4 linked regions of the Drosophila melanogaster genome follow. The protein of the gene in region 1 interacts with the protein of each later gene in a pairwise test. Each region holds a gene or a part of one and is shown on either strand. Other genes may lie near its edges.

Region 1 (7,839 bases):
AGACTTATAAATTGCTGTTTGGTTGCAAACTTCAAGAAGAATTATGTTTGCCTTTATTACTAGATCGACGCAATTATGCAAAATGTTTGTCTTAACTCAAAGATCCTGTAAATTTCTCTTATATTCAACAGTTTTCAGTAAAACATTTTAGGTATTAAGCTTTCTAGGCATAAAGTAATCCAATAAAATCAAACGTTTTATAGATCCTGAACAAACATTACATCGAAACCTATCCATTTCTTTTTTTTTTTCGTTACCTTACCGCAGCGGAAGGCGAATTATTGCTTTAAACAAATTTATTTATAACCCAAATTAAATAACTCAGAGCAATGGACTTGACTCCGGTTGCCACTAAATTCGCTAGTCGAATGCAATTTGCAGATTTACTAACCCCCAGGAGCAGAATGAGCAGGAGCCGCAGATGGAGCCACAGATGGAGATGGAGTCCGAGGAGCCGGACTTGCTGCAGTTTGGAGAAAATTGCAATTGCAATTACCAAGGCGGAGAAAGAGGGAGAGCGAACAGTGGGATAGAGAGAGAGAGAAAGAGAAGGAGGGAGCAGCGCCATGCCACGGGTAAAACAACTAAACAACGCCGAGCGACGACAGTTTGACTTGCAATTTTAGCTGCACCAGCAGACCCCAGCAGCGAAATCAGCGAAACCGTGGTCGCCGCATCATCCCCATCATCATCCGCGCCGTCATCATCATCATCGTCATCAAAGGAATCATCATTAGCGGCATCATCATTAACCAGTAAGTGAGGCAAAGTGGAGCTCACTCACGACTAGGCAATATCCTTTGCTTAAAAAGCGATTTAAACACAAAACTTAGAAATTACAAAGTGAAATACAATTGTATTTATACAAATAGTATTTAACAATAACATGTCCATCTTCTTTTTATAAATTGTAAAAATCTAAAAACTCCTTTATTTCGCTTAAAGCTTGAGCAAATAAAAGTTGTTCCTTTTGACCATTACATTTTGATGGTCAAACGCAGTATATCCGCATAATCCACGAGGATCTCGGGTACGAAAACCGCGCGCGCCTCGACCATATCCATTACAGCCAGAATAACAGGAGGCTCTGGAGCAGGAGCAGGCGGACTGGGATTGGAAATGGGATTGGGAATGGCAACGGGAATGGGAATGGGGCAATGTGGAGCAGGGCAGAGCACTAAGGGCCGAGGACAGCGAGTAGTTGTTGGCCTGCGGCTGCCCGTCCTGGCCAAGTTTGCGAGAAAATCGATTTTAGCGCTGCCTGCGCTCGCACGGGCGGCCTTTTGGATGCGAGTGTCCAGGTTTCAGGTCCAGATCCAGATCCAGCTCCACTGCGAGTGCGATTTCGAGTACGTTGCCCAGTCACAGTGCCATTCGTATTCCCCAGCCTTCAGTCCGCCAGTCGACAGTCCCACTCCCATTTTCATTCCCAGTAGGGGAGTTGCACTCCTGTTTGTCCACAGCAAGAAATACCAAGGGTTATACCTTTAAAAAGTTCGTTCTATGACTTTAAGAACTTAAACGTATAAAAGGATTTAAATTTAATTCCACATTTAAACTATCAAAAAAAAAAAAAGGAATAGCTTTTTTAAAGATAATTTTATAAATTTCATCCACTTTTCCGTTTAAGATTTATTTTGTTTCCCATTCTTGTTTTACAACTCAACTATTAAGATACACATATAGGCCTATCAGTACCATAAATCCACTTTATATCTGTGATTATCTTTATGGGGATGCACCTTTTTTTTGGCTCAGTGTCCGTTCTGTTTGTTTGTTTGTCGCTTTTAATGCTGAACGGAGTTGGCGAAGGCGACTCTTGACTGATTTTTATGCTTTTGGCCCAATTGCCCCGCAGTAGCCGCTCCGTTCGGAGAGCGGACTCCGATGGGCACTGGGCACTGGGCAATGGGCATCGACCGGTTCTCACTGCTCGGTCCTCGGTCCTCGGCCGGGATTACACCTTCCTGCCCTGCGAGGCGAGGTGCCCCCTCAATGCCACCCATTAGCGGCCCTTTGTTTGACTTGCAGTTGCAATATAAGGTCATTCCTCTGCTCTTGTTCTTGCCGGTGTTTTTGTTGCAGTTGCACGCTTTTCGTTTCGTTTGATGGCTGCGCACGCGGCCTTTTGTTAGTTTTCCCCAACCAATTTCATTTTTTCTTTTTTTTTTCCTTTCCATTATTATTATGCTTTTTTCGTACTCTTAAAGGGAACAACATCGGCGAAATCGCAGTCTAATCACTTCATTAGCCCGAGTCTCCCACCGCTTTTGGCCATGTTAACACGTTGTTCGCCTGCAAGTTGCACGAACTTGCTGGCAAAGTGCGAAAAAAAATGGATTTTAATTGAAAAAGTGTGGGAAGTGTAAACATCGATGCGACTTTTGCTTTCTTTGGATTGTTTAAGTGGTGCCCCGGATTTAATGTAAAACAACTAGAATGTATTTCAAAAGTATGAAAAATTCCATGAATTTTCTACAATTTTTGCAATCATAATTGTATAAATTTCAAGCAAATTTTTAATGGCTCTTAATAATAGTGCAAAATCATCGAGACAACTATGCTTTTATGTAAATTTTGTTTTGACCAATTACTCGGAGTATAAGTGCACATTTTGTAGATGTACAATTAAGTGTTGTTTGCCCACAACTAAATGCTTAAATGGAGACCATTAAAGTGGCTTTTAGAGCATCAAAACTCCAGTCGGAAATATCGCAAAAGTTGAATCGCAACTAATTTACTAACCCACACTATATTTGCCTAAAGTTTTCTCACAATTGTAAAGGTGAAATAGCATCAGCTGTGAGTCTGTGGAGCTGTGAAGAGTGCTCCTCTCGCTTATCGCATAATTGGTAGCAATGTTGGCTGCCACTTTTTGCTGCGGCTTCTGTGGCAGCAGGAACCATGGAAGCAGGCGATTCTTTCTCGGCTCTCCACCTCGCCACCGTATCCGTCGCATTCCGGAGATGCCGGCAAAACACTTGTCAGCGACTTAAATGGCGCGCAGCTGTGCGGCATTAGCTGGGGAGAGCTGGTAAGGCTGGGCAGCCAAGATCTGGGAGTTGAGAGGAGACCAGCGAGACCAGGGAGACCAGTGGACACACCTCTTAAGGAGGTGTTGCGACCGCTGCTCCAGGAAGTGGGCATCTGGAGGGGGAAGGCGTAGGGAGCACGGCACTGCAAGTCCAGTGGCGACATTTGATGTGATTATTGAGTTATGCCCACGGGGGCAGGTGCCAGGCATATTTCGCTTAATTTTCTGATGAAGTTATTCACCGAGATATGGAACGCAGCGAAAATGTACACGTATTATAAGCACAGATAAGCTACCCAAACAAGCAGGCACAAAAAAAATAAGAGACAAGGTAAAAGAAGGTGTGGTTGTGTGATTTTAAATGACAATCCTCTTCGGTGTCTAAAGTCGGCAGTTTAGGGTTTTATTTGGACACGGCCACGACAGGTGTTTAAAAAACATTTCAAGTCTCAAAATGTTGAAAGCACACAAGTAATCAATGTTTTTTTAATTGACGTTTAATTATTGCTCGAGACAGAAATTAATTGAGTTCGATAAATCATTATGTCGAACTTTCAATATGTCTTTGAATATTTCATATTATGTGATTCTGCATAATTTTCAATTAAAGAATTTATATCAGTGGGTTAAATGCGTGTTGTAATTTTGCACAAGAACTTTCAATTCGAAAGAAGATACGCACTTTTTAAGTGAAATATGTGACTTTATGAGTCATTCTATCTCAAAAAGGAAGTTTTCAAGACATTAAGGAAGTGTTTATACAATTTAAACCAAATGAGTGAAAAATGGACAATTGTATAACAAAATGCAGAGAGGAAGTGTTGCATAAATAATTAACATTTGTCAGGAAATCTGTGGGCAGCAACAACAAAAAGCCGGCCAAGAGTCAGAATTAGAGGGAAATAAGAGGGAGACAGAGATGAAACGAAAACAGCAGGCACTACTAAATCACCGACAACAACAACAACAGCAACCCCGGAGGATGAGGATAGAGTGGAAATGGGAAGGGAATAAAAACATAAAAAAAAGCGGCACAGATTGCCGAGAACAAGAACTAAACACAGGCACACACACAGTTTGAGCACTCCAGCTGTGTAGTTGTTGTTGTTGCTGTTTTTTCGCCGCTCCTTTCTGCCCTGCAATCAATAAAACGGATTAGGAATATCCTTTAAATGCGGCGCTTGGTGGAGGCTGCACACACACACTATCGCACTCACGAAATCTCCCTCACACACACAAAAGCACACACAGGCACACATGGCTGCAAATCTTTTACAATAACACATATAGGAGGAATAGAAGTAGCGGCACTTACTTTTCGTTTTCGTGTTTCTCCGTTCGTAGAGGAAATTAGGAGATGGCAATTGAAGGTGGAAGAAAGGAGGATGGCAAGGAGGAGATGAAAACAAAACCGAAAAACGTACACTCAAACACGCACGCACACGAAGACACGCAGGGCGCAATGATTTACCGTTACGCGACGCGAAAATGCTCACAGGAATGGCTACCAATTTACTCCAATTTTGATTTTGTCACTTGCATCACAAACATTCACATTCGACCCCAACGACCTTGCTGTTCCTCCTACGCGCAACTAAAGTGCTATGCTACAAATGCAATTTAAATGCTTGCTAAATAACTGGGTTTTTTTTTTCGTAGAGGAACACACACGACGTTTCAAATTAACAAATTGCTGCCGGTTGTGTCTGCGTTATCACGATTCCTTGATGGCATGGCTGATGGTAATTGGTTATTGGCCAGCCTGTTTGCTTATTAAACGGCTCGTTTGGCCACCGTTTTCGTTTCGCTCAATTCTCAATCACAACACACTTGCTTCAGTTTTACCGGCTTTTTCAGTTTCAATTTCACGCGAATAGACCGCTCGAGCTGGTTTTCAAAACGACCGGATCTCGAACATTTCGACGACTGACCGCGCGGCGATAAATGCGTTCGTATATATTCGTATATGTTGCTTGCTCCATCTGGCATTTTTAGCATCACAGCCGAGCTCGCGAACGGTCACTCTCTTGGTTCGATGCAACCGATTTAGTTCGAGTTCGAAGGGTTTCGAACTTACGTTTCTTATATTAAAAGAAGTGCACAAAAATTCAATAAATTGTTTGTTTCTATTTATATTTCATAATTAGAAAAGTACAATTATTGTTTACCGTTTTCTTGCCCGTAGATCATTTAAATTTAGCCGCGCCACAATTGCATTCTTATATTTGAAATACGTACTAATTGGGCGAATTTAGTTCATTTAGTACAATTGATGCGCATGCGTCTCTCTTGAAAATTAAATTCTCTCGCATTTACAGTGCCAAGATAACTGTTAAGCTAACAGCTGTTAAGTCTAAGCAATAAATAAAAAAATAGTAAACTGTATAAATATCAGTATTATTAAAAATATTTACATTTATTTCGTTTCTTTTTGTTTTTGGCGGTTTCAGAAACCAATTCAGAAATTTAATTTACAATTTTTATGAGTTCAAGCTTTGAGCGATTTGATTGAGTGGTTCGATTTCCGTATCCAGCGATACAGAGGGCAGCACATGAAGCACCAAAAGCACCCGGGATCACACACACATCCTTGGTCCTGGAACATCCACTCCTGGGGATCTCGAAGAATACAGCCACAAAATTGGAAGATCTATGTATATAGAAAGTTTTGACCGCTCACACGGCGGTGATGAGATGGGCGTCATCCTCGTTGATTCGATCCGACTTTCCATTGACCTCGATCGTGTGATTGGACTCGGTGTCGCTGGGTTCCTGCTCGACCTCCTCATCCGCTTCATCGTCCTCGTCCCCCTGGGAGGAGTTCTCACCATTTTCCTTGTCGGGCGATTCTCGCTCCTCGTTTTCCTCGTATATGACGTCACAGCTGGTGGCTATTGATTTGGGCGGCGGCTTCTTTACCGCTTTTCCACCGCCTTTGCGGTCACCATTTTGTTGCATCTCGGACATTTGAATCTGCATTTCCCGCAGGCGATCGGTGAGCACATACAAATCCCGCTCCTGACTCTCGCATCGTGTCCTCAATTCGGTTATCTCACGCAGATCCTCGGCTCGAGGATCTCGTCTTTCGTATCGCATGCGCATCTCCTCAAATCTGCGCAAAAAGGATTGCAAAATTCCTTAAATATTTACTATATTCACTACTAAACTACCAAAAAGGATAATGGTGAATTCAAGGCGGATGCTGGATACTGACTTGGCGTACAACATCCCACAACACGGACAAGCAAAAGTAAGATAAATTTGTGTTAAAGATAAAAAGAGTTAAAAGGTCGAGCTCTTAAATCCCTTTCCTTTCCGATTTTATTTTTTTATTTTTCAAAATTATATAAAGATAAGAATCTTATATTTTAGCAAAATTCGAAAGTTTCGAATCATAATTCCATAGATCTGTGGTCTCAATCACACTCAATCTTTTAATTAACTTTCCTTAGACTTAGGAACTCGACCTTGGGGAAGATGGGTCAGGGTGGCTGGTGGTTTTTGGGGAATGGGTGCACTTACAGATTGGTCAGGCAGCGGCACTTGCGATGCAGCTGCTCGATCTCGTTGGCGTTGCTGATGTCGCGCTTGTCCAGCGCCGCCTTCTCGGCATCGTAGGCCGCCTTCAGGTCCTTGAGATTGCGCTGGTGCCGAAGTTCTACATCGCTGCGGTTGCGGATGCGGATACGAATGCGTACGCGGATACGGATGCAGATTCGGATTCGGGTTGGGGTTATTCAGGTTATATAGAGTGGTCAGAGGTTGAGGTGGATACACACACATAGCGAGAAAGAGAAAGTAAAATATTAGGAGAATCGCACCAGAAGGACAACGTTTGACAAGCTGCATGCCAGATAAAAACATATTTTTTTTCTTATGGGTTTTGTTCGCATTTCAAACATTTCAATACCAATGTCTTATGTCTAACAAGAGATTTTCGATGATGGCCAGTCTTAAATTTAAATCAAGAATCATTTTAAGCGTGAAAAGGGGGATTAATATTTTATTGGCGCGCTAGGAGGTGGCGATATTTGATATAGATCACTGCGACAATATTGAACACCAAGCATGCAATGGCGATCAGCGGCGACATGGTCAGATATAGCACATATAGTGTGGGCATATACGGCCACGCCCCCTTTGCAAACGCCCACAGGGCTGGAGAGGCTGTCGATCGACCTAAACGCTGATCCATGCTGATCCAATGAATGAAATGTGAAACGAAAGAGAACAGAATACAAGTTCATGTGATAATGGATCGAGTTCAAGGACTCCAATGTGACAAATGTGGCAAATGAGTAGGATGCAGACATTCAATGCAAGCCAATGGATCCTGCTTCAATTTAGTGGGGAGCAGCGGTCAGGGGGCACTATTAAGGTAAGTATGCCCATGGGGCGGGGCATGCCACATTGCATTCACTCACTTGATTCGTTCATCGGCAGCGGCCATTTTTGCGCGATGTCGCTCCACAAGTTCCTGCAACGCCTCCTCCTTCTCCGCCTGCAACTTGGCCTTTTGTGAGTCTGCCGATTGATATAATCAATTATATAATTATATATAATAATAATCAATATACACATGTATCTTTACCCAGCTCCTTTCGATGTGATTCGACCATTTCCTGAGTGGAGAGCTGCAGTTCCTTGGCAAACTCCTCCTTAACTTGACCGAGACGTTCGCGGAACTTCTCCTCCATTTCGGCCTTCTCCGCCTCGAACTCCTTCTGGAGTCGTTCCTCCAGCTCGACACGGCGATCCTCCTCGCGGCACATGGCATTCTGGTACTCGCGATCGGCCTTATCCAA
Region 2 (7,992 bases), on another chromosome or scaffold:
TCGTATTTTAGGGTTTTTATTCTCCATTCGACAGATGTGATATCAGAGTGCTTTAGTATGCGGATTAAGATGGACAGCCGAGTAGTACTAGGCTTTGTAGTGGGCGCCATAAGGAAGTTGAATCAATAAAAAGAATAAAGTGGAATGAATCCTACATACTCTTACCATATCGAAAGTCGCACTTTTCAATCATCTATCAGTGGAATCTTAAGTATCTGAACCAATAAACTGGTAAATAAATCTATTTTCAATTGAAAATTGAATTTATCTACGGTAGATTAAACATAAAATTCAGAATATGTAACCAATGTTTTAATATATTCCCATCTTATGAGAAAGAGATCCCCATACATTCTAAAGTCTTAAGTCGTCCGAGTTATTCAGCCATTTCAAATTCCCTGAAAGGTTATCAAGAACTTAACCCAAGCATAATGCCCGAGATCTGTGCCAAGTGTTCATTGAAACGTTTATTAATACTCAGTTAAGTTGGCCTCCGGCTACCAGAACATTTCCCACCAAATGTCAACCGAGTAATCCGCCGCAAGCATAAAGAAAAACCGAAACCAGCGGTGGAAACACCTTCGAGTGTACACCTAAACGCATACATAATCCTCAGGCCTGAAATTTATTAAATACTTTTTAATGCCATCGGTTTGGTATAGATCATGCCTAGACCAGGCATATATCTTTGTCCAGCACCCACGCACTCATCAAGTTGAGGCCCCAAAAAACAAAATCCCGCCATGGAGACGCCAAAGAGGCCATCGTCAGCATGGTGAAGACGACGCCACATCTACATGATTATTAAAGCGGACAAAATCAGAAATCAGAATCAAAGTCCGTCTCCATAAAGCGACGAGTACATTGATTGACATTTAATTAAGCAAAAGCAAATGCACACGGAAGCCGCAAGCCGATCAATCGGCAACCAAAACCGCAACTGAGAAGGGTTGGATGCTATCCAGATCATCATCTTCACCCACTGGCCGGGTTTGGACCCCTCCTCCACTGATTCCAAGCCGATTGAACAAGTTTGGCGTCACTGTCATTGCAGTGACAAAGGCGTTTCTGGTCGATCATCAAAGGAAATTTGATGCTTATCGGAAAAGTCATTTCATCAGATTAAACGGCTGGCCAGAAGAGAGGCAGGCGAAAGGGAAACCAGAACCCTGGGTAGCCAGTTGGCAGCGAGGGTCGATCGAAGGGTATGATCTACACCGCAGAGGGATGGGAGATGCATTTATCCAAGTGCCACTTTGATGTGGTAAATGTTTTTATAGCTACTAATCCCATACATACATACTTCTGCTTTGGGAGCTTAGGGGCCTACAATAATATTATGATTAGCCTGAGAGATAATTAATGCTAATGGTAAAGAACTATTATGACAATCCTAGTGGTTAGTTAAGTGGTTGAACTGTTCTATAAAATACCTAGAATATATTAAAAAACAATTCGAAAGATATTGAACTATTTGCTTGTAGTTCTTATAAGATGAGTACCAAAATTCGATAGCTTTTCGATGATTTATGTTACACTCCTAAGTCTGCCCTCGTGCGGCATTAGAAATTCAAATATTTTGACTCTTTTTTTTCGATCGCGCCAGCATGCAACCGCTGGTACCGGTGGTGTCCACGTCCACGTCCCCCCGGGCGTTTAAAACGGCGCAAAAACTGAAGCAAGAAGGAAAACGCTGGCGCGGCTACTGCGCATGCGCGACGCGAGTTGGCAGCGGTTAAAACCGCGCTTCTGCGCAGTCGCGTGTGGGCAGGACAAGTTTCGCTGCCGCCGCGGGCGTCGTGTCACTGAAATCAAATCAGCCGGGCTTAAATGCTCAGCCAAAAACTTCGCTGCGAGTTTGTGGGGCTGTGAGTTGGAGCTGTGAGTTGTTGGAGCTCCAAGCGCTCACTGAGGCTGGCAAACCTGCTGTCAGTCGCTGGTTTGACATGGAAAAAAAAAATCTATGCCGGCGCCTACGCAGCACGAGAGTGAAAAATCGGGAGAAAGAGCGCAATCGCGCTGTTAAGCCACTTAGGGAAATTCTTCGGCGGATTTTCATTTGCAGTTAACTTTCTTCAGGCTTTGTTTAATTTCAAGCAGTCAGCCTATTATAATTGGAGGCAACCAAATAGAGCGAGGTGAACTGAATTGATTTCGAGCAGCCTGATAAATTGGTTTCATCATAATGGACTTTGTGTAACTTCCGGCGCAGTCCAAGCATTTTTTTGAACGTTGTTTTGGAAGTGTCAAGATTAGGATTGGATTCAATGTGGAGTTCAATAGTCTCGGACGGCACTTGACGTCGTCATTTTATTGATTTCTGTATTTGTATCGATTTGAATTTAGGCCCGGTCTTTTTGTCGTCGTTTTCCCATTCAATTTTTGACTATTTATATTCGACAAAAATGCAGTAGTTGACAGCTGAAAATGTGGCTTTTCAGGTGTTATATGGAGTCCTATTTCAAAATATTGAAAGGTCTGTCAATTATAAGTCGGGTGATTGAGATTTCTGGTATGGTAATTGCCACCTGCCAAGTTGCTCAATCGCAACAGCAGAGTACATAAAAATGATTGAAATTGTAGGTGTAAAAACGCATAAATCACAATTTAAAGACCCGTAAGAATGGTATTATTATAATCTCTGTAATCTTGAATCTTTAATCTTGCGTTGAGCTAAACATGCATGATGACTACTTTTTGATGTAAGCATAGCCAGCAGCTAGAAACTGTCTCAAATCGTATTATATTGCCATCAATTAAATTTATACAGCGGCTATATAATTAAATGTTTATTTTTACCAGGTGTTTGTTGGACCGCACCTTGCTATCAGTGGTCGTCTTTAAATAATTTGCATATCTTCGCAAAATATCTAAGGAAAATAATATGCGTGATAGATGCTACTATTCTTGCCCGGATAAAAGTATACATTTCGGCGCAATTTTCGTTGGCAATCTTGTCAAATCGCTTGAGAATGTGTTTAATCTGTCATTAGGCCAAAACCGAAAACCCATTAACTTATGTTGATGAACCATTAAGGCAAAGTCGCGTCTCCATTCGACTTGAATTGGTTTTGAAGCCCGCAGTCCAAACGGCCAACACAAATAGCCTTAGCTGCTATTGTGACTTTGCTCCATTTGAATTGCAAATTCCGACTGAAGTCAATACAAAGCATTAAAATTTGTTAGCCTGATTTGCCGCAGAAGGTTCGGATATTGGTGTCCAAATGACTTTCCACTGACGATGCGCTAATTTGCTGGTGCAACAATTTTCCACTTAATTTGCATTTGTTTATGAACTCATAACTCGCTGCCAAGCGGAAATTCCATAACTAACAATGGCAATATTATTTATGTTTTAATAATGTCAAACTCGAGCTCCAAATATGGCCAGCAAGATATTACCATGTCTGAAGAGTCATCTCTGTGTGGAGCGCCAAGGGGTGTCAATGTTTGGACAGAGAATAAGAAAACACCAAGCTCCATATTTGAATAATTATTCAGTGAATTTCTGTCACATCTCATTGCAAAACTGAACAGATCGATCTTATTTGTCCGCTCTATTGAAGGGAAAGTATCTATCTATTGTATAGATACATCGATACAACGAAGTCATAGGCCTAGCTAAAAGTATCTCCCAACTATTGGTTACTACATCTTCAAGATTAATACCCCTTCGGGTCACAACGCCACTGCCGCTAAATAATATATTCAAATAATAAAATAACCGCAAGTCTGAAATGTCTCTCGAACAGGCAGTTATAAATTGTTATGGGGATCTTTGCAGTGGGCGTCTTTTAATTGAATCGCTTGGAATTGAGTAGCAGAGCCCAGTAGAAGCTGCAAAGTGATTGGGAAATCGAGCCAAATAAAATTAAGTATTTTAACCGTTGTTGGGGAATGTGACCAGCTTCATTTGGTCAACATCATTAGCAATCTGTGGCTGCCGTTTCGAATCACAATTCATATTTGTTGGAGGGGAAAATATTCTGTGCTCTGACCTTATATGATCCACATAATTATAGTTCTCGCAAAGGCATAAACCTCAATCTGATCTGCTTTAAATACGTGTGGAAAGTCCGGTAATTAATAAATTATGACTCGACTGCGGTATTTATGGCGCCAATGCAGATAAGATCTCCCCAGATCCCCCATAGATTAATGTCGCTCGAATGGTGAGGATGCCACAGGCCGATTTTGCCGCCAGATTGCGGTTGACTTGGGTGTGGCTAATTAATATGTATCGATAGTATTTGAATTACAACAACAATTAGCTTGATTTATCATCAGATATAAAATGGCGGTGAAATGAATAGAAATCTTGTGAGGCGCTCATAAAAAATATTCATAGATTGGCCTATCAACAACTTGGTGATTATCATGCAATAAAGTCGAATGAAAAGGAGTTAAACTGCTGTGGGTGTGCAGCTAGAAGATGCGATTCTTTAGTCTACAGTCTGTTAAGATTGAAAACAAGAAATTAGCATTTAGCTATTAATAACTTTCTAAATGAATGATATTAATAAACATAGACCCAAGTCGTGATTACTTCCGTATATCTTTCGTTTATCTTTACGATCCTGAGAATATGTTAAAAATGAGATGATGCATCATTATTAACGCAACTTCTTTAAGAACAACTTAATATGCTCTAGTACCTTCCAGGCACTTGAATATGGAATGCACTTCGCACCTGGCCACTTGGCGCACTCATTTTCCGAGTGAGCGGAGTGTAGCCCAGATTTTGGCCACACGAATAAGCAGCATATGTAGAAGCCCGGAGGTCTGGCCCACCTTCACACTCACCTCGTGGTCAAGGACGCTGCTCTTGCTCTAGAGGTGCCCCCACTGCGGATGTGGATGTGATCCAAGTGATCCACTTGGCGGGACGGAACTGACAGCTCCTTGTTGTTTGTGCGGCTCGTTTGCGCCACTTGCGGCTGTCAACGCGCAATTTAGAATGGAAACGACCTGAGTTATTTTTACGAGTATTGCCACACTTTTCCGCCGCTTTTTCCTGGACGCCCGCACAGACACTTTTATTATGTTGTACTTTTGCAGAGCGAAAGATCAAACACGTCGCAAGGGTATCTTCACACTAAAAGAATCGATAACGAAACGGATGCATTAGACCATTTAAACCCTTTTCGAAATACGCGCCAGGTAGAAAAGCTGGATTTTGGAATGGGGACACACGCGAAGATTTCGTGGAGTCGATTTTATGGAATCGCGGTGGAGAACACGCGACGCCAATGCCTACAATCCTCCAGCAACGACAACTGCTCCGCAACTGACTCGCCCGTTCGTGCCAATAAAAATTAAAACACTTTTATGCTATTAAGGCGAACGCGACGCGATCTTGGACACCTTGGATGCAGAGGATGCTGCTTGAGGATCGATCGGATTTAAAAATATGGGCAAAAAACTTTGTACAGCGCGGGCTGATTTCAAAAGCACACTTAGGAAGCGTTTGAAAACTGAAACATTCTCGCGATAGTTCGATCGATTGATGCTACTGATTTATCGCCAAAACTAATCACTGATCACTTATCGAAGCACCTAGGACACGCACCGTCTTGTTCAACGTTCCAACGCGAACTGAAACTGAAAATTTGAAAATGCAAAGGGAATGATCGACGCGCAGCGTCGACTGAGGCAGCGGCAGCGCTGTTGGCTGGAGCAACTTGGAGCAGCGACAACTTGTTGTTGCCTTTCTGCGTTTCTGTTTTGTTCTCAGCTGTTGTTGTTGCTCTTGGGAGAAACGCGGCATTTTGTCTTCGTTTGTGTTTCTTTTGATTTGACGCGTGAGTAAGCCGCGACGCCCACGTGCAAAATTTGCGTAAACATCGACAGTGTGGCCAGATCGCTGCTGAATAATTGAGGAAGTGAGTGGAAAAAGTGGTAGTCAACTTTCAGATCTCATATCTTCCGCTTCCTTAGTAAAAAATAAAATTTTATAATGGGTAATCTTCTTTAAAATATAGGAAATTTAAAATTTATTTTCTATATAGAAAATGTTATTTTAAATATTCTGTAACGATCAGCGCAGTTTTCGTTTGTGCGCTTTAAGTTGCAATTATGTAATATATTGTTTAAAACTGCTGTGTAATTTGTAAGAATAAATATTTTGGTTAAAAGTCGCTCTCTGTGATTATATTTATGGGTAATTACTTATTGTCTTCAGTTCATTAGTTTATCCACCAATTATTATGGTGGAGTCGCCCACTTGGGCTGCCCCAATTGTAGATCGTTTGGGCCATTAAACTGAAACTCAATCCCGAAACATGCTTACATTGTAGGCCCGTTTAAGGCCATTAAATCGGATTCGTGCGAACCCTTTTCCGATAATGCGTCCATCCTTGTTTTCGACCACCACCTCCAAATCCAAAGGAACTCGGTGGATGGGGCCAGACTTTTGCTCTTTTGAAATGGAGATCGTAAATAAACGGCACGCTCTGCAGGCATTCAAAACAGACGAACTACTCGTTAAAACCAGAGCCCAAAATGATATGCATATGGCACCTATTAATGGCTACTTATGCAGTACAAGTGTCCCCCATTTCGGAACTCCCTCCACTCCTATTTGCCGTTGACACGGGACTGATGCGTAACACGACAGTAGCATCGGGATCCAAGGGAAAGGGAAGTTGAATGAATGGCCCGACCTGTTCGTCATTATGTCGCCGGCATGTCAGCGGACAGTTGGAGGAGGGCATTATGCAGATGTGCATTTATCACGGAGTTGCGGTGCTGCGGACACACCCGAGATGCTATCCCACATCAACGCTGCATATTTTGCCGCTTTTCGGACAGCGGCGACCACTTGCTGAAATTTCATTATGTGCGTGATTTATAAATAAGCCTCGCTGGCCCCACGCCCCATTCCACACACTCCTCGTCCGAATCCTCCTCGAGTTGTTCCCAGCATCTTCAGTGGTTACGAGCTAAGACGTCCCACGCACTTTTCGACGCCGCAACAGCAACATCAAGTCTGATCTCCTCCGAAATGCCCCACCTTTACCCCACCACCTCGCACTGCAGTTCAGTGCGTATTAATCATAAAATTGTATTATTAACATGTTTATTTTTCGGTCTTCAAGATTCGATTACACGCATTCTTCCTGCTCTTCGTGTGCAGCGCTTTCTGGAGTGTTTTTTTTTCCTCAGCGAACGTGACTTTGTTGTGCAGTGTAACGAAAGTGAGCTACTTTCTAACACTCTTAGGGGGGTTTGGGATTATCATCAGCCTTCAATTGCTCTAGGAAATATTGTCATTTTACGACTTCGCCGGTTAATTGGGTTACGTGGCTTTGGCCACTGATGCCGACCAGGCCAGATGCCTTGCACCTGGAAATAGTGTGGGAGTTGGCAAGACATGGTTTGATTGGAGTGAAGTTGGTCAAGCTTCCGGCTTAATGATTCAAAGGAGAGTGTTTAATGGCAGTTGATAAATATGCATATCTAAGTGCAAATATTTACCTAAAGGTGTTACCATAGCTCTCCATTCACCCTACAAACTAAAAGCAAGTGCTTATCACTTAATTTCCAACTCAGCCCCTTTTTTTTTGGGCCAATACAATATAATTAAAAGTAGTTAAAGGTCAATTCACCAGCTTATCGGGGAAGTAAAACTGGTTTGCTCGCATATCAATTCAAAAATATTGAATAAATATTTAAGGGCCCGTCGGTGAGTGTATAATTAACGTGGAGGGCTTAAGCCATAAAACTAGTGATTAACGCCAAGTTAACAACAAAAAAATAAACCGGCATTGCGGGCTCTTCGCAAACAAAACTCAGCATGTTTTCTATAATTTTCAAGATCCATTTATTCAATTTCGTTTATAATTATTTGTTATGAATAAATTATTTTAAATTAAGCAATAATCCGACTAACTAGAGTATATCTAACAGTAAGCGGCATTACATCTTAATCGTATTTCCTAGGCGATAGCTTTGCCTACCAAGCATTTTGATGGTTCAATACAAAGCGTTTTA
Region 3 (6,582 bases), on another chromosome or scaffold:
GGTGCTGTGCGAGTTGGCTGATTCTGTGAAATGGATTAAACAAAGCCCTGCGGTCAACAGATTGGGCAACCGGAGATATTCTGTTCTAACCAATCAGGAATTAATTATAGAATGTGGGACAACATTGCAGCACCCATCGCAGGAGTGACCCAGAAAGAGCGTCGAGATTCGCAAGGGGATGTTCCCGGACTGCAAGCGTGTCGCCAATAAGATTTAATTATAGATTGCCGGACTTTGTTTGTCTTGGACTTAGTGGGATGTCAGGTAGATCGATAAAACACATCACTCGGCGTCACAGGTACGCTCATCTTATCGCTCACCGTAACTCCCATTATAGTGCAGCCCCGTGGGCTGGCCACTTGCATGTTTATTCAGCCCAGTCCCAGTCCAGTTCGTCCGGCTAGGCCGCTTTTCGGAATTATTTCGCCACGACACGTGGCGCGAAAGCCGCCAAGTCTTGAGTACACTTGCATGTTCGCCTATAATTTGTCCTCTGCGGCTGCTGCGGCAGCGGCTCCGGCCAGTTTGTTTGAGTCACGTAAATACGGCTGTCAACTTTGCTGCCCGGAGCCCTGTGCATGACATGACCCATATTTCCAGCACCGAGTTCATGCCTGCACTAACACTTGGGCAGACGTGTTTGCAACTGTGTGTCCTTTGTTTGATGTACACAGTTCCAAAATTTATTCCCGGCTTTGAAATTTAACGAACGAACGGCATTTACCCTGATTTCCTTTTCGGTTTTCGAGGGCCGTTCTAGGCGTTTCCATTAACCCCAGTTTCCCTGAGCCAAAGTGCACTTCCACTTGTGCCTACAATGGGGCAAGTGCAGCGAGACGGCGGTATGAAAACAAAAGCAACAACAGCCGCGCGCCGCGTTCCATTTCCGCCGCCTGCACCTGCCACCACGAGGATTGCCCTACCATGAGAACACGGATCTGGGGTCTGGTCGCCTGCCTGTGACTTTTTAATTAGAGCCAATGGGCGGCCAAGTGAGGCGAGGCCGCGGATAATGAGGGAATGTTGAACGCGGCAGTACTCACCTCCTCGTAAATGAAGGTGTCAATCTCCTCCAGCGGCTTTCCGTACATGTGCTCCGGAAAGGGCTCGAATTTGCGGGGCAGCACGTCGCCGTCCTCCACGGAGGCCTTAGTGCGCGGGTGGAAGCCGTACTCCCGCACCAGCTGGATGTGCCGGTTCTCGTGCTTAACCTGCGACCTCTGCGTGTACGCGACAACCTGGTGCTTGGCGACAGCTGAAAGAGATCGAAGGGATTAATAATGCGACAACCAACACAAGCATAGAAATGTATGTACATTCACATGCAGACCCCAACTAAAGTACGTAGACACCTTAAAAATTTTAAGCTTTTACATTCTTGTCAGAGAAATTATTGTGTATTTTAAAATTTCGACTAAATATTAAATTGGAAAATACTGTGTAATTGGCCAGAGCTTAATAAAAGCCTAGCCACTTTCTTATACAGTAGCAGGAAATTTAGCTTGCGGAATGACAACACACCACTTCGTCCTCATCTGTACAGTGAATAACTCCTGCCGTGAGTGAATCCGTCCACTGCTCGTCGCCACATCCGATGCCCGAAAACTCGGTGGTAGTCCAGTTAATGCAGGCCGTCGGCGGCGGAATCGCCGGAGCTGCGACGCGGACCATAACCCAGCCGCTGGACGTTCTGAAGATCCGATTCCAGATGCAAGTGGAGCCGGTGACAAACCATAAGGGGTCCAAATACCGTGGAGTCATCCACGCTTTCAAGTCGGTGTACGCCGAGGAGGGAATGCGCGGTATGTTCCGTGGTCACAACTCCGGCCAGGTTCTGAGCATTTCGTACGCTCTGGTACAGTTCTGGTCCTACGAACAGCTTCGCTCCATGGCCCACCAGTTTGACTACTGGAGGGAGCGACCCTTTCTCATGTTTTTCATCTGCGGCGGCATAGCCGGATGTCTGGGAGCCGTGGCCGCCCAGCCGTTCGACGTGGTAAGAACACAGATGGTGGCCGCAGACCCCTCCTCGCGCCGCAGTCAGATGAACACTTTTACCGGACTTCGAAAGGTCTATAAGATGGAGGGGTGGATGGGACTTTCCCGAGGACTACCCTTCACGCTTGTGCAGGTGTTTCCGCTGGTAGGGGCAAACTTTCTCTTCTACAAGTACCTCAACGCGGCTGTCTTGATGGCCAAGCCTCCCGACCAGCGCCAGGAAATCCACGGCGCATTTCTGTTTCTCAATGGGGCGCTGTCAGGGGTGTTGGCCAAGATGATCGTGTACCCGGCGGACCTGCTTAAAAAGCGCATCCAGCTGATGGCCTTCAAACAGGAACGTAAGACCTTTGGTCGCAACCCCGAGTGCCCTACGATCCTGGGCTGCATCACCACCACGTTTCGGGAGGAAGGAATCGGAGGCTTCTATAAGGGAATGTTGCCTACTCTACTCAAGGCAGGACTGATGAGTGCCGTGTACTTCTCCATCTATGACATGTTTAAGCGCCACTATATAGCTCCGATGAAAGAGGCGGAGAAAAATCGGCAAAAACTGGGCAAGCATTAGGTAAATCACATACTGGGCGGCTGGCTTAAATTATTACACTAACATGGTTTATTTTGTACACCAGTATCTTGGGAGAATGTGTGGAATATGGATGAGCGAACATGTCAAATATAAGTTAAACGTGAACAGTAGACTAGACGACCAGATGGCCAACGACGGACATTGCCGTCTACTTCCAGTTTGAACTGGATCCTGCCCAGCCGCCTGAGGCCGGCGCTGAGTAGCTGTATCCGTCGCCACCGCCGCCGGAAGACCCGCCGTAGGAGCCACCGCTGCCTGAAGCAGCGGCTGCAGCCACCACTTGTGTATCATAGCTGGATCCGCCGCCACTGCTATAGCCACCGCCATGTCCACTGCTGTATCCTCCAGAGCTGTAGGACGAGCCGCTGCTGTAGGAGGAGGCTCCGCTGTAAGAGGATCCACCAGAATATCCACCATCGTAGCCCCCGGAGGAGCCACCACTGTATCCACCGGAGGATCCGCCGCCGTATCCGCCGGAAGAGCCATGTGAATCTCCAGCCGCAGCAGCAGCCACAATCACCTGGGTGTCATGACCTCCTCCGCTGTGACCGCCACCGCTGTAGCCGCCGTATCCTCCGCTGCCACCATGATCAGAGGAGTCTGAGCTGGCGGCGATGGCTGCAATGTTGGCGATGGCATGGCCACCATAACCTCCGCCGTGTCCGCCGCTGCCTCCATGTCCGCCATGTCCGTGATCGGAGGACGAGCCAGCAGCAGCAGCGATGGCAGCAATCTTGGCATCATCATGACCGGAACTATATCCGCCGGAGCTGTATCCGTGGCCACCTCCACCGCCTCCGCCACCCCCGGAACTGTATCCGTGGTTCTCGGTGATAACAGCATAGGTGTTCACATGACCACCGCCTCCTCCACCGCCGCTGTATCCGCCATCGTGGGAGTGAATCTCATAGCCTCCACCTCCATGGCCGCCAAAATCACCGCCTCCGTGGCCGCCAAAATCACCGCCTCCGTGGCCGCCGTGATCCCCACCGCTCTCTGGCAGGTGAATACGGATGTGGACATGCTCTCGTCCGAAGGTGGGCTTTCCCCATACCGCTGGGCTAGCCAGCAGAAGCGCACTGATCTGGGAGTGGGAGGAGGGAATCTGTGTTAGGATCCACCTGAACTGACGTGGTGTCGTGCCAAACTCACTATGAAACGGGCTGCCATTTCTCTGGATTCGTTACGAAGGACTCTCGAATGATTGCTCGCCTCTGGACCGACTGGAAATGATTCGGCAAACATGGGCACACGCCGTTTTATAGCCCTCTTCTCCACTCGGGAGCCATGCGGTTATATAAGCGATCGCTTGCCGCTGAGCAAGTGCAGAGATAATCTCTTTCGCCGACGACGAGCTGAATGAAGTGGAGCCAGACCACTGGAGACTTCACGACCGCGACCCATTGAAGGCCAACTGGCCGCGTCTTCGTCTTCGTCTTCTTCTCGGCCATCCAGTCTTCACTCTCCCTTTCTGAAGATCGCGAGAGTGTTGACCTTTCACATCATCATCCCCAGCATGTGCCCAATTGCAATACCACACGGATAACGTAAAAAAGGGTCTGTGACTCAAAATTATTTTAAATCCCATGGTGTGATGCCAACTTAAGTGTATCAATCATCTTTGGTTTTCCATTTTCAATATTTTACATGATAAACAAAACCGGTTTCGTAGACCAATTTAAGATCGCTAAAAGATATCTTAAATTCCTTTTGCTATATTTACGTAAGAAAATCATATTTTACGAAAGCAGCTTGGATACTGCATAAAAATGTTTTTCTAAATCTAAGACTTTTATTTTGTAATTGTAATACACGGATTCTCCCAGTGCACTAACACACTCTCTCGAGGAGCATTCGCTTCTGTGCTCTACTTTCTTTCGAGAGAAAATCTGAGTGGCCCTAAGCTTCGTGGGCTGGCGGCCGAAAATAGCTAAAACCGAAACTCAAACTGTGGTAATATGCAACTTGACCAGTTCCAGTTTTGGCCCAGAGCTCGTTGCTATTGCTACTTTATCACATCGCCGATGCTGGTTGTTAACCGTTAGGTATTTTGTTGACGTTCATGTTTATGGATTTTTATGTAGATACGACGAACTTCCTATTGGCAATTCCTTATTGTTGGTCCAGACTTGCATAACGATTGGCCAAGGGTTGGCCGGGTTGGCTGCTGCCCGCTGGCTGCTCACTGTCGCTAGTCATTAACCCATTGATGGCCGTACCAGTGCCGGAAATTATCAATATAATTTTGTTTACCAACGCGAAGCAGTGGTGCCGCGGCTGTGAGGCAGGGAAGGAGCCAGTTACTGTTCTTTGGATTGGGCCAGGTCAGGTCGCCGTTTGGCGAGAGGCTCTCGAGCGCTATTGGGTTAAGCCTCGCCTGCAGCAACATCAAAAATATCTTGTCATGCCCCCGCGCTGCAACATGGGCAAAAGGCAACGCGCCGTGGGTTTTGTTCGCGCTTACATCAGCAAGATGTCCGACTGGCAGCGGAGAGAGGTCATGGCCACTGGCCACCCAACACCTCCAACTCACCCACCCACCAATCTGGACGCCCCAACAACCCCCGCCGCCATGCTTTCGCCGTTGATTAGCCACTGTTTTCATTAGCAGTGAGTGACTTGGGCCGAGCCAGCGAATCGGGGCCATCCGGCCATTTCGATTACGTCGCTGATTATCATTTCTCATCTGGCAGCTACGGAGCTAGGCAGCTGACTGCTCGCTCGGCAGATTCCATCACTGCCGAATAATTAATATACATTTAAACTGTTTCGGATTGTAAACAAAGCGGGCTTACATAAGGAACTAGCTGGGAGCAGCAAGCGGGACACCGACGCAATAATCTGTTGCCAATAAAGCCACATCGCCGGTCATAATCACGATGCTGTGCCGAATGAAGTTCGAACTGGAAGCCGCTGAGCTGGAGCAAATGGGCTGCACTCCAGTGCCATCAGAGCATCTTTCAATGGGGATTACATCTTCAGCTAGAGAGGGCCACGCTCACGATGATGAAGCTGCTTCTGCTGCCCCGGCGATGACGGCAATGACGATGGGCAACCGGTTGGCGGTCGCACATTAACATCAGATGCAACGAAGACGCACATCTTCCCCATATTGCATAATCGACCCGGGCTCGCGACTCGAAACTCCAGACCTGCCGTCGCATCTTCACGCGGAAGCAAAGTCATTCTCAAAGCGCCCAAAAACAAAAAGGAAATTGCACACCGATACAGAAACTAAAAGCAACTAGCGACGTGCAATGTCGTGGTTTTCCCAAAAAACCAGTTGCATCCACACACAGAGAGAAAAAGGTGTGCTACAAGTGATTCACGAGATTGTGGGCAACAGTTTTAGAATTGTGGGGAAAGTCTTGAAAAAGTCAATTCGATTTTCTGCTATATTATGGTGCTCTCTTGATACTCCTTATGTACTGCATGCTTTGCTTCGGATTTCCTGGTTTAACTTTCAAAGTTTGTTGTTTAAAGTGCAGCCATTGTTGCAGTTGCAACTGGCATTGCTGCCTCTGTTGCAGTTGCAGCTGCGCAGACCTTTGAGCAAGTTCAATGGTGACGGGAATGGGAATGGAAATTGAAATGGGATTGGGATTTGGACTCGGAGCGGAGGCTTAGGGGGTAGGGCAATTACGCCCCTCGCAGTTGGGGCGCTTGCTCTCGACTGCTTCCTGGCCCTGGCCAAAAACCAAATCCAATTCGAGACTGGCAAGGCGGAAAGGAAGGTGGTCGGTCCAAGCCCCAGCCCAAGCCGAGCCGAAGGAGAAACCGAAACACTGGCTGCAGTGATGCGGGACAAACAAAAGTGAAAAAGTGAATCGGTAGGATAAAGCGAGATGCAGCAACAATTGCTCTACATATTTAATTAGTTTCCGTTTCCGTTCATATTCGTAATCCGCAGATGGCAGCGCCTGCTGGCCTTTGTGCATTGTTCACCTCCCCAGTGAATATACTCCGCTGACAATGGCGCCCTGCGCCCACTTATC
Region 4 (10,861 bases), on another chromosome or scaffold:
TCCCATTTTCTCGAGCTCCATAAATAAGTGCAATCCAAATTGATTCTTTGTATCCCAGAACTCAGAATCTGAAAGTCCCTTCCTTTACTTGTTAGTTGAAGAACTCCCTAACTGAAAACTAATTACGATAAAACAATCAATTGGTTTATGGTCCTTATAAACTGTTTCTACATTAAGATTTGGACATTAGCACACTGACTGATGCGTTTCGTCACTACGCTATAACTCTTATGTAACCCAAAGCAGTAAAAGAGACATTTTGTATATACATTATAATCACAATTTTATTTTAAGTAAGGATAGAAAGTATTAATGATTCCTTTTGGTTTGGATACTCTAGCACTTGCTCTTGCAGTCGTCACCCTCGCAAATGTCGCAGAGCTTCGACTTGATGGAGTAGTATTCGGTGGCCTTCTTGTTCGTGTCATAGTAATCGTAGAGGACCACCGATGATGGCTTCTGGTTGGCCACCGCATGTGTTCTGTACGCCTCTATGCGAATGCATTTTTCTTCGTTCTTGGCCAGATTCTCGAAGTATATGACCACCACGGAGTCACCGTTCTTGGTTTCCACCAACTGCAAAGCGAATAATTTATAGGTAATTGAAGAGAAAAGTGTACAGGTATTAAGGATTCTGAAACTTACCCGCACACGTTCGATGTTCCGGATGTCGGCGAAGCTATCCTCATCAGCAGTATAACCAGACGGCAGGGATACCTCCAGAATGGCCATGTTGGATTCCTTGGACTCGCCCTCCTCCACGTAGTCCACGCAGACGCTTAGTTCCAAATTGGCTGGCGACGATTCCGGCAAAACGGTGGTCTGAATCTTAAAGCTCGGCTTCGGCTCCTTCTCCACCAAGTTGTATTGGTAGCTTATCTGGACCATAGCAGCTCCAGTTCCCTTGGCTTCAAACTCCAGCGACTTGGTGCCCTGTGGGAACTCGACTGTCTGGAGGAGCAGGTCATTTTCCTCCGATGTGTTGAGCTTCTCGGTCTTTTCACGCTTTCCCTTGTTGGAAACGGTCACCTCCCACTTGGCCGCCTCGTAGCCCGACTTCTCAGCGAACTTAATGAGGGCGGTGAGGCCGACAACCGTGTCCTGGCTGGAGGCAAATCCTCCGAAGCCATTACGCTGGGCGATCAACCAGCGAACGGTGTTCAGAACAGAGTCGGCTGTCTCCTGGTCTGAATCCAGAAGGGAAAGCAGCGCATATGATGTGATCTCCACATCCTGACTCCAGATCCAACACCACCAGCGTCCGCAGTTCTTGGAGGCACGCAGCTTATCCAGATCCTCGGTCCACCAGGTGCGATCGTCCTCGTGTTTGGCCAGGGACTTAAGACTGGCCACCTGCTTGGCAGCTTCCGGCGCCTTGGCCTTTTGCAGGGCATAAATGGCAATGGATTTGGGCAGGAGCTCAATGGACTCGGCAGTATTGGCGCTCAGATAGGCAACCGCCTTGTCAATGGCAGCCTGGTTCGGTTTCTCCTCCTCCAGCAGGGCGAGCAAGGAATTTGCGGTCAATGTCAATAGAGATCGCTGGGAGCTATAGAAATACTCTCCGTGTTCCGTGAAGCTACCATTTTCTGCCTGTCGAGTTAACAGGAATTCGTAGCCCTTGGCCAGGATCTGCTCATCCAAGTCAATTATATCCTTGATCTTGCTAAACGAGCGCAGCACATAGGCCGTCAGCCAGGTGGAACCATTGCGCACTGGATCCTCCTGCCTCCATTTGGTGGGCCCAAAGGAACTGAAGCTGCCGTCGTCGTGGCGATAGTGCAACATATGTTGGTATCCGTCCTGCAGATTCCTCTTGATGCGAGTGTCCAATGCAGGTGTGAGTTTCTTGATGCTCTTCAGATAATCCCTCACCAGATAGTTGGGCACCAATTTGGACATGGTCTGCTCACCGCAACCGCTGGGCAATCGCAACAGGTTCTCAAGGTTCTTGACCACTGGTCCCAAGAGATCACCCACCAATCCGAATTCCACACGCTCGGAGTCGGGGACCACATCCTCCGGCACTTCCAGCTCGAAGGTGTTCTTAAACTCACCCGTATCCTTAAGATTGATAAAGAATGCCCTGTTCTGGTACTGGGTAATTCCTTCGGGCACTACCTTTAGCGGCTTGTGTATAGCATCTCCGGCCAGCGGTGAGATGGCCTTGAATTTCAGCAAAATATTTCCAATGACCTTGGGTCGGATCAAAAATGAGGCTCCTGCCGCTTCGTTGGCGCCCACTCTGATGTTCTGCGTACGCTTCTGGTCACCAATAACCTCATTCGAGGCATCCACGAAGTCATACTCTTGATCCTCGTTGTCCAGGGTCAGTTCCACGTCCAGTGTCTTGGGCAGGTAGTTAAAGACCAGTGCCGGTACATTGATCACCTCACCTCGCTTCACGGAGTATGGCAATCGAACGGAGACAAAGAACGGCTGGAATGTCTTGATATTTGTCTGATCATTGGTGACACCTAATCCCTTCTGGGGATGCAGTGAAAAGCCGGTGACCACCCAGTTGGTGATCGTATCGGGTATGGTCTTTACCCACTTGAACACCTCCTCCTCGGTGCTCTCGATATCGGCAAAGATCCAGGTCTCTGCGAAATTCTTTCGCACTACTGGTGCTGCAGATGCAGACGCACTTTCGGCGGAGAATCCCACGGCCTGAGTTGGTCCGCCAGCACCGGAATGGAATACATGACTATCATGTGCCACTGTAGTCTTTCTCATGGCGAAAGAGCTTCCACCAAATCCTTCTGTAACTTCCAATAATTGCAAATTAATGTGGTTTATTATTATGACAAATTTATACGTACGAATATTGTAGTCTGGGGCGGTGCGATTATAGAAGAAATAGGCATTGGTCATAGTCACGACTCCAGTTCGCTCTCCGGGGTAGTAGGAGTATCCACCCTGCCAGGGAGTTGAGGTGTCATAGCCATTTAGGCGCCAGTTGAAGGATTCCTTGTTCAAATCGTTGTTGCTGCCCAGCAGAAGGACACTCTGATCGACGGCCAACAATCCAACGAATGACTTTGGCGACGTCTTGATCTCCAGTGCAACGTCGGCACCCGGTTTAACTTCCGCGGGAGCCTTGATTTCGATCTGGTTCTGCAGCTCGACCTCCACACTGAATGTTTCCTCGGTATATCGGAACTCTCCTGTCTCATCCACGTAGTAGAAGTACACCCGACCATAGGGAGTAGTGAGGAAAGTGGGCTTAATGGTTACGTTGACGGTCGTTTGGGGTTCCGCGAGGTCCACACGTTTCGTTTCCAATATGTTTCCACGTCCCACAATGTTGTACACAAAGTATTTGAGCGGACGACTGGAGTTGAGGATTACTTGATACTCCTGCCCGATCTTGAGGCTGCAATAGAAGTATTGTATATGGTTATTTAAAATCGTGGAACCCTTGCTCAACTCAACTGTACTCACTTCCAGACGTCCTTGGGCCTCTGAACTTCTGCCCTGAACCACTCCTTTTCCTCTTCAGAGCTAGGATTTTCAATCTGTTTTGGTTCCCTGTAGGGATAAGTGGTGTACAGATCTCGTTTTTCATCGACGAACTCCAGCTCAATGCTATAGTAACGAGTAAAGTTGGCGATATCCGGCAAATCGGGAAGAACCACCTTGAAAGGCGCCACACCAGACGCATTCAAATGGCTTTCAAACACAAACGTTTTCTTCTCAATCGTTGGCAATTCCGGTTCTTGATGATCTGTTCCAAAGGCATAGAAAGCATAATTGCGTCGAATTCCTTCAGTGAACTTGGCCTAGAGTTAAAACGAATTTATAAGTAGTGACAGATCTCTTAAGATTTCTAACCCACCTTCACAACAGACTTGGTGTCTGTAATTAGTGAGCCGTCGACATATGTAATCTTGAAGTTAAGTTCATGTTCCTTGTCGGGCTTGAAGGAGAAGCAACTGGAGTAGTCAGTGCAGGACATCTCATACCGATAGGGGTACAGCTGCACACCGCCTGTTTCATTGAGCTTCACGCCGGTGAAGTCTTCCTCCACGGTAGCCGTAATCTGGGCATATGAAGAAGAGGTCTTGTGCGGCAGATAACTGGCGAAGTCCTTGAGATCCATGGTCAACTTGGCCTTGCCTCCGACCATGTCGGCGGTGCCAACAACAGAATGTCCGGGGTAGTCCGTTTGCACTGTCTTGCCGTCCACATTCTCCCAACTGCTCGTCGAGTCCAGATGGACATTGACAAGAACTTTACCATTCACGGGCTTACCATAGGTGTAGCTGGGGGATAATGCTGATATAAGAATGTCCTAAAGCATAAAACTTCCGGTAATACTTACTTGGCCTTCAGGACGACATTGAACTCGCCATCTCGCACTGAAACCTGCTGCGTGGCATCCATTTTGACGGAGTACTTGGGCAGCACGTACTTCTCCACCTCAAAGTTGACGAGCTCATCCGAGCGATGCCAGCGATGACCAAATCCTCCAAATTGTTTACGACCCCCAAAGTAAATACCTCCGTCGTGGTGCTGATCTCCATTCTGAACATGAAGGGACCAGGAGCCCAATGTGGCGAACTCGGAGAGCTCGAATTTGCCAGTGTAGACGCCACCGGTGGTCTTTATGTGTTTCTCCTGCTTGATGCGGTTCCTTTTGGAGTCCTCAAACCAAACCACCACTTCATCCTTAGCGGTATCCGGCCGCAGGTTCTCGTCCAGGAAGATCACACGATAGTTGATAGTATCACCGGGCTTGTACTTTCCCTTATCGGTCTGGATTTTAATGTATGGCTTGAAATTCTCCCAGTTCAGCTTGGTGGAGTTCTTGAACTCCAGTCCCTTGACGCCCTCCGCCGTCAGATTATATTCACCCGCCTCCAATGGGGGCAGTTTGAAGGTGATCTGCTTGAACTCACCGGCAGTGGCTAGTTCCACGGTCTCAGTTTTGTTGTAGGAGGGTCCAGTGATGCCCACTTTCAGGGTGACTGGCTCCTTGGTCTGATGGACAGCCACGGCCACATTGTAGTCACGGTGGGAGTGGATGGTTCCGGGACCCACAATGGTGTACTTGCTGGAAGCAAAGAAAACATCAACATTATTGTCATGAAAAACAAAATAAAATCAAATAACAATTCGGCCATAAAAAATTCCAAGAAGAGAAAAAAACATACACATATCCACTTGGAAATATTTGTAGTATTGTATTTGTATAATATATAGTATTGTATTTCTTGATAGTAACTATAGCTATCAATATTCAAATTATCAATATCAAATTCTTGACCATGCTCTAAGAATTCAAAAATAAATGTATATTGTCTAATCTCTAGGGAAACACAGAAATGAAACTTAAAACCATTAACCTCGACTTGATAATGTTCCCAATCTTTAAAAGGCAGTCTAAGATTCGGTTTAGGTTTTTGAGTTATGGTTTTTTTGATCTGTGACAGCAAATGATGAAATATATATGTATATATATATATAACGGATAATATTCCCAGAACCTGATCTTCTACTGAAAAGTATGAAACCGGCTTAGAGATTACATAATTCCAGCTTTTGCGATTAGCAATCTTTCTCGCACTTACAGTCCCCGATCACGTACACCAATATTGTTAGCCTGAACATCATTAACTTTTTTGGATTAGATTTGTTCCAGCCTTTTATGTTAGACTTCAAGTTTATGACATTTTTAAGTGTGTTCCATAACCCACCTTCATATTCGTTTCTAATTACTAATAATTGGCGGGACAGGAAAAAGTACAGATTTAAGATCGTGTGAAAGATTGATCAGCGAAACCATTGAGGCAAACAAAGTATGTGACGTGATCCTCTTGTTTGAGTAAAAAATATAAAAATCCATATTCAAAATGGCTTACAGTGAAACTCAATTAGCATCATAAGTTGAGCTCAACAAAAATGAAGAAAATAAAACACCCCTCAACAAGGTGAGATTAAAGTGGCGATGGCACCTTCAACTCAAAAATTAAATACCAGATATTAGTTCGGAGTAACTAAACCTCTTTAAAAAAGAAATTCTGAATATTTTTGAAGTGAGTGAATAGTTGTGATCGGACTATCGTACCAGATTTTCAATTTTATTGAATTTCCCCAAATTCACCCTTTTAGGTGCTCATCGTCACTACGTGGACAGAAGTCTAGTGTTTAATCTTATAGGTGTGATAAGGAACGATGTTTAACATTTGCTATATACATAATTATATATCTAAAAGTTAAATTACTATTTGAAAAATGTAGAGCAAAATGTTATTAGGTTAGTGATTTGTAAAAACCGTAAAAAAACTCTCCTATAAATCCAAGGACAAACCAGATGGTATAAACAATTAAGCTAATAGGTGATTTTGCGTATAAATAACAGCTTAATTACCTTGATGTTCATTAAAAACGGCCCTATCTGTATACATATATGCATACCTAATTAATTGAAATATTCGACGACAGCCATACAGTGACTGTGAATATAATAGTGGTAATAAGTAATAAACATAGATAATATAGTTTGGATTGCAGTAATCTGTGTTTAAGTGTTCGAGTGAGACGGGAATCCAACCACTAGCGTATTAGGGAAATGGTTAAAATTTTTAGCCATCAGTTTTTATTCAAATTATCAACCGAATAACCGAAGTAAGAACAATACGTTTTATAGGCCAGCTTTGTAAAGAACTATAGTTTTAGATATCTGGCTTTGATTATCGCCTATATTTTTGCGAATTCCTAACCCGACTCTACTAATACTCTAACCGTAGATGTGTTTTAAAATCGATCCGATCATATAGTATAGTATTTGTGGTATATGGACTTACCCCTCGGCTTTTACCGGTTCCATCGTCTGCAGCAAGGCCAAAATCACACAAAGCGAGACAGCAAAAGCGTCTGCGCGACGCATTTTGATTGGATTGGTGGTCAAATGAGGGCAAAAAGGATGGGAAATAAGAGCACAGATATTATAAGGCTATAATGCGCGGGATCGATGCTGGCGGAAGTTTGGTTAGCGACTGAGCGACTGCGACCGACTGGGATCAGAGCCGAGCTGGGACTGGTTCGGTTCGATGGCCCACGGATTTGTTATAATACCGAGCGACTCTAAAACCCCAGGCCCGGCAGACGAAGCCGAGCTCCAGTGGGGCGAGCAAGTCGTAAAAAAAAAAACTGATAAAAATTATAAGTAAATAAAACTGGCAGAGTGTGTGTTGTTGTGGTGTGTGTGTGTGTGTGTGTGTGTGTGGCGGTGTATGTGGTGCGCCCACTGAAATCGATGACGCGAGTTGGGCAAACAAAACCTTAACAATAATAACATGGCCACAAAAAACGCCGGCACTCCAATATCAATATTCATTCGTGAGTATTCACTTGGGCTAGTTGCCGCTGAAATATCATTCGTAATTTGATTTAAGAAGGAATTTATGGGAATTTACTGGTCAAAGGGATCAAAGATGATTATTTCTAATTATCATATTTACAAATATTACATTTGTGAGTATTCACTTGGACCAATTTCAGCTTAAAAATCATTCGTAATTTGATTTTAGAAGGAAGTTAGGGGAACATACTGTTCAAAAGAATACAATACAGGATGGATTTATGGGAATTTACTGTTCAAAAACACCAAAGATGAATGTTTCTATTTTCATCATATTTTCAAATATTGATTCGAGTATTCACTCGGGCCAGTTTCAATCATAATTGGACTAATAAATGGGAAATAGGGATTTACTGCTAAAAAATTGCAAAAAATTAATGTTTCGAATTTCACCATTTTTAGAAATGAATATATTATATGAATATTACGAATAAAGGGCGAACAAATAGGCGTGACTGTATAGAAGAACAGAAAGTTGGTATTACTGATTGCCCATGAGTGATATTTCAGTTATTTGTCACAGAACTATCGTCATGCAATAGTCAAATTATAACAACTTATTCATATTTCGTGTGGGGTTTTTCGATAATTAACACTTTAATTGTCACCAATAACTGTCGCTTCGTGTTTCGCAATGATTTGAAATATAGATTTTCCTTTTAAATAATTTACGTACATTATCTGGTTTTTGGAAAAGCCCAAATGATTTTTTGCGAAGATCTCGCGTAAAATCCCAATATATGAATTGAATACAAATATTTATGTTTTTGTCGTGTGGCAAATGACGTGCGTGCAATATTATTTGGACTTGTTGATTTGCAGTGTTAACGGAACTGCCTCCTAAATCGAAATACGGAGACCAACTGACTAGGCGTTGTGTACATATATATCGAAAACTCTTTCCTGCTCTCTCTGAGTCAGCTGTTGTTGTTTTGTTAGATGTCGCTCTCTTGATTTGCCGAATGATGACGTCACTTGGCTGTATTTCACACTGCCTTGCAAATGAAACGGGTATATAATGTAGCGATGAGTAATGCCAATATATAAGAGATATTCGCTCAACTGCGTTTCTCTTGGTGATTCCCCGTTTGTTCTTTCTCTCGTGCGGTTCGGTTCCGTGTAATCTATAAGTAGTGATATTGGGTGATATGAATACGCTGCAATCTAGGAAAGGAATTAGCTTTAAAACGCTGTAATTTCATGATTAATTAAATTGTGGTGATGTATGGTGAATTAATTTGCTTGTAACAAGTAATCTTCCTTGGCTTTCACCCAGAAAGTATACTGCCTGCAAAATACGCTCATAATAACTAACTGAATATACAAATATTTTTATGAAAAAACTATTTTTTAAAGCTATTGTAAAGCTAATACATCATATGTATATGCAGGCAGGAATAATTGAATCTTGAACCTTTTTTTGTGAACTGTATACGTAATAATATTGAAAGTTCGCAAAGCTGAACAAAATGTTTTATTATTCCAAATTCCTAGTCGGTATATTTTAAGTTTGGAGAGCCGAAAAACTGGCATCTACATACATAAATATGAGATAGTAAGGCATACATGGACATGTGTCGCGATTATGTCTATCTCTTCGGTTAATCACTAAAGTAAATGAAAATAGAAATGAATCCACAGAACTATCTATGGTACATATGTAGAGCTACTCAAACTCTGCTAATCCTCTCCTTCAAATCTCATAACGCTACCTCAAAAAAATGACCAATTTAATAGATATTATTTTTGTAGTCGGATAAGTATGAAAATTTATTTAACCGTATATTTTGTATTAGTACAAATGCGCTGTAGGAAAGTGTTATTGTGGGATATTCCCAATCATATTGTTCGCTTCTTATCTTTCTATTTGTTTCTCCTTTTGCTGTTTATTCGTCTCGCATTTGCTTTTGCTAGCAATTTCACAACATCGATCATCGAAATCAACTATTTAGGGTGGACCTAAAAAGCACAATTTAACGTAGTTCAGTCTACGTAAATATATATTCTAAACGCAGAACTTGAAATAGAGAGATTATTCAACATTCGGTTAGATTTGTTATTACTTAATTTGATCTTTAATTAGGAAATGGCAACACCCTTGACTCTGTTTTTGGGAATCACTCATGGTGTATTCACCATGATTAACGCCGGTCAATTATCCAATCCGGTTTTAGATTGCTCCAAAAATACCGATAATCGCATGTCGTCCAGCTGGAGAGCAATGCCAATCGCTGCCACCTGTGGCCGCTGCCGCCTTTCCCGCCCCAAGGTGAAAAACACGTGAACGGGTCGATCCGCTGAGTCACTTTTTGCAAACGCCGCGCTCCACTGGCTTTGAAAGTTTGATTTTTCGGATAACGCTGGCGGAGCTTTCGATGGCTTTTTCCAGCTGTTCCATGCCGTCAGACTCTCAAAAGCGTTCTAACAACCGCCACGAGCAGTCGCGATCTTCGGTTTCGGTTTATGGTGCCCAAATACTTGGATTCGTCTTATCGGTTCTACGTGCGCATCTCACGTAGCAGATAAGTGATTTTCGCACAGCTAAGACATCCTCAGCATAATGACAACTGCCGAATTGCAAGGTTCCTATGGAGGCCTCTACTTTGGCTTCTGCACACTGATCTCGCATGTGCTTCTGGCGGGGATCACCGTAGCCATTGTTTACAAGTGTCTGGTGCTCAAATTGGTGCACACCGCCGGACATGCCTTCTACTGCACAATCGGCGTAAGTATTTTGATTTCGGATATTAAAAGATTTAGAAACATATGTGAAAAAGTGAAAGTTTGAGGCCACGGTTAACAAATAATCTAATGGTTTCAAGGATATATATTTCTCGAGTGAGAGTTTTCTGTACCCGGAAGACCTAAATATAAACTGGTTTACTATCTCCTGAAATTTTTACCCGTCCTAAATCATTGTTCCATCTATCTTCTATTTCATTATAGTTTGTGTTTTTCATGGGCGAAGCATTGCTGGTCCGGAATAGCGCATATTTGGAGTCCTCGTTGGGTCCATTGAACCTCAACCGCCTGCACGCCGTCCTGGGGCTGTTGGCATTCCTGGTCGGAGCCGGCGGAATCGGAATCAAGACATGGCAGAAGCTGGAGCGCAAACGGGAAGACCCCAATGCCACCGTTCGTCACTTTAAGAGCAACCATGCTTTTTACGGTGTGTTCTCGTCGGTTCTTTTCCCAAATATAATGATAATTTATGCCTCCATCTTTCGCCCATCAGGTATAATCGGTTGTGCTCTTCTTCTGGGTAGCGTTCTGAGCGGTCTTCCGCTGTATTTCATCAACAGTGGCTTCGCCTTGAAAATGCTTCATCGATTTTTCGGATTGTCCGGATTCCTCGTTCTGATGGTATCTCAAATGTTCGGATATAACACGGGATTCGGTCGGCGACAGTGGAAGGCACACCACCAGAAGCTCTTCAAATTTTTCACATTTATTGCCACCATTACGACTGCAAATTACGAACTCCGGAGATTTGTG

The links.
Region 2: the proteins of SKIP (region 1) and Tsp interact in a two-hybrid assay, tested with the Drosophila melanogaster proteins (one large-scale study listed by BioGRID).
Region 3: the proteins of SKIP (region 1) and CG9083 interact in a two-hybrid assay, tested with the Drosophila melanogaster proteins (one large-scale study listed by BioGRID).
Region 4: the proteins of SKIP (region 1) and Tep4 interact in a two-hybrid assay, tested with the Drosophila melanogaster proteins (one large-scale study listed by BioGRID).

What each region holds. Positions count from the first base shown.
Region 1 is NT_033777.3:22,130,962-22,138,800, reverse strand, and holds the start of SKIP (shal K[+] channel interacting protein), read right to left. Parts: upstream 4,972-7,839; 5' UTR 4,350-4,971; intron 1-4,349. Other genes in the region: CG42390 (uncharacterized protein), read right to left, coding at 5,711-6,146, 6,557-6,700, 7,048-7,230, 7,459-7,558, 7,626-7,839.
Region 2 is NT_033779.5:6,703,484-6,711,475, forward strand, and holds the start of Tsp (thrombospondin), read right to left. Parts: upstream 5,604-7,992; 5' UTR 4,804-5,603; intron 1-4,803.
Region 3 is NT_033778.4:24,895,517-24,902,098, reverse strand, and holds CG9083 (uncharacterized protein), read right to left. Parts: upstream 3,827-6,582; 5' UTR 3,758-3,826; coding exon 3,740-3,757; exon of another isoform or gene 3,672-3,739; coding exon 2,736-3,671; 3' UTR 2,594-2,735; downstream 1-2,593. Other genes in the region: Tpc2 (thiamine pyrophosphate carrier protein 2), read left to right, coding at 1,595-2,566; NaCP60E (Na channel protein 60E), read right to left, coding at 1,044-1,255.
Region 4 is NT_033779.5:19,545,877-19,556,737, reverse strand, and holds Tep4 (Thioester-containing protein 4), read right to left. Parts: upstream 7,046-10,861; 5' UTR 6,893-7,045; coding exon 6,810-6,892; intron 5,057-6,809; coding exon 4,325-5,056; intron 4,266-4,324; coding exon 3,839-4,265; intron 3,783-3,838; coding exon 3,445-3,782; intron 3,377-3,444; coding exon 2,823-3,376; intron 2,769-2,822; coding exon 646-2,768; intron 577-645; coding exon 337-576; 3' UTR 287-336; downstream 1-286. Other genes in the region: CG10337 (uncharacterized protein), read left to right, coding at 9,927-10,091, 10,313-10,535, 10,602-10,861.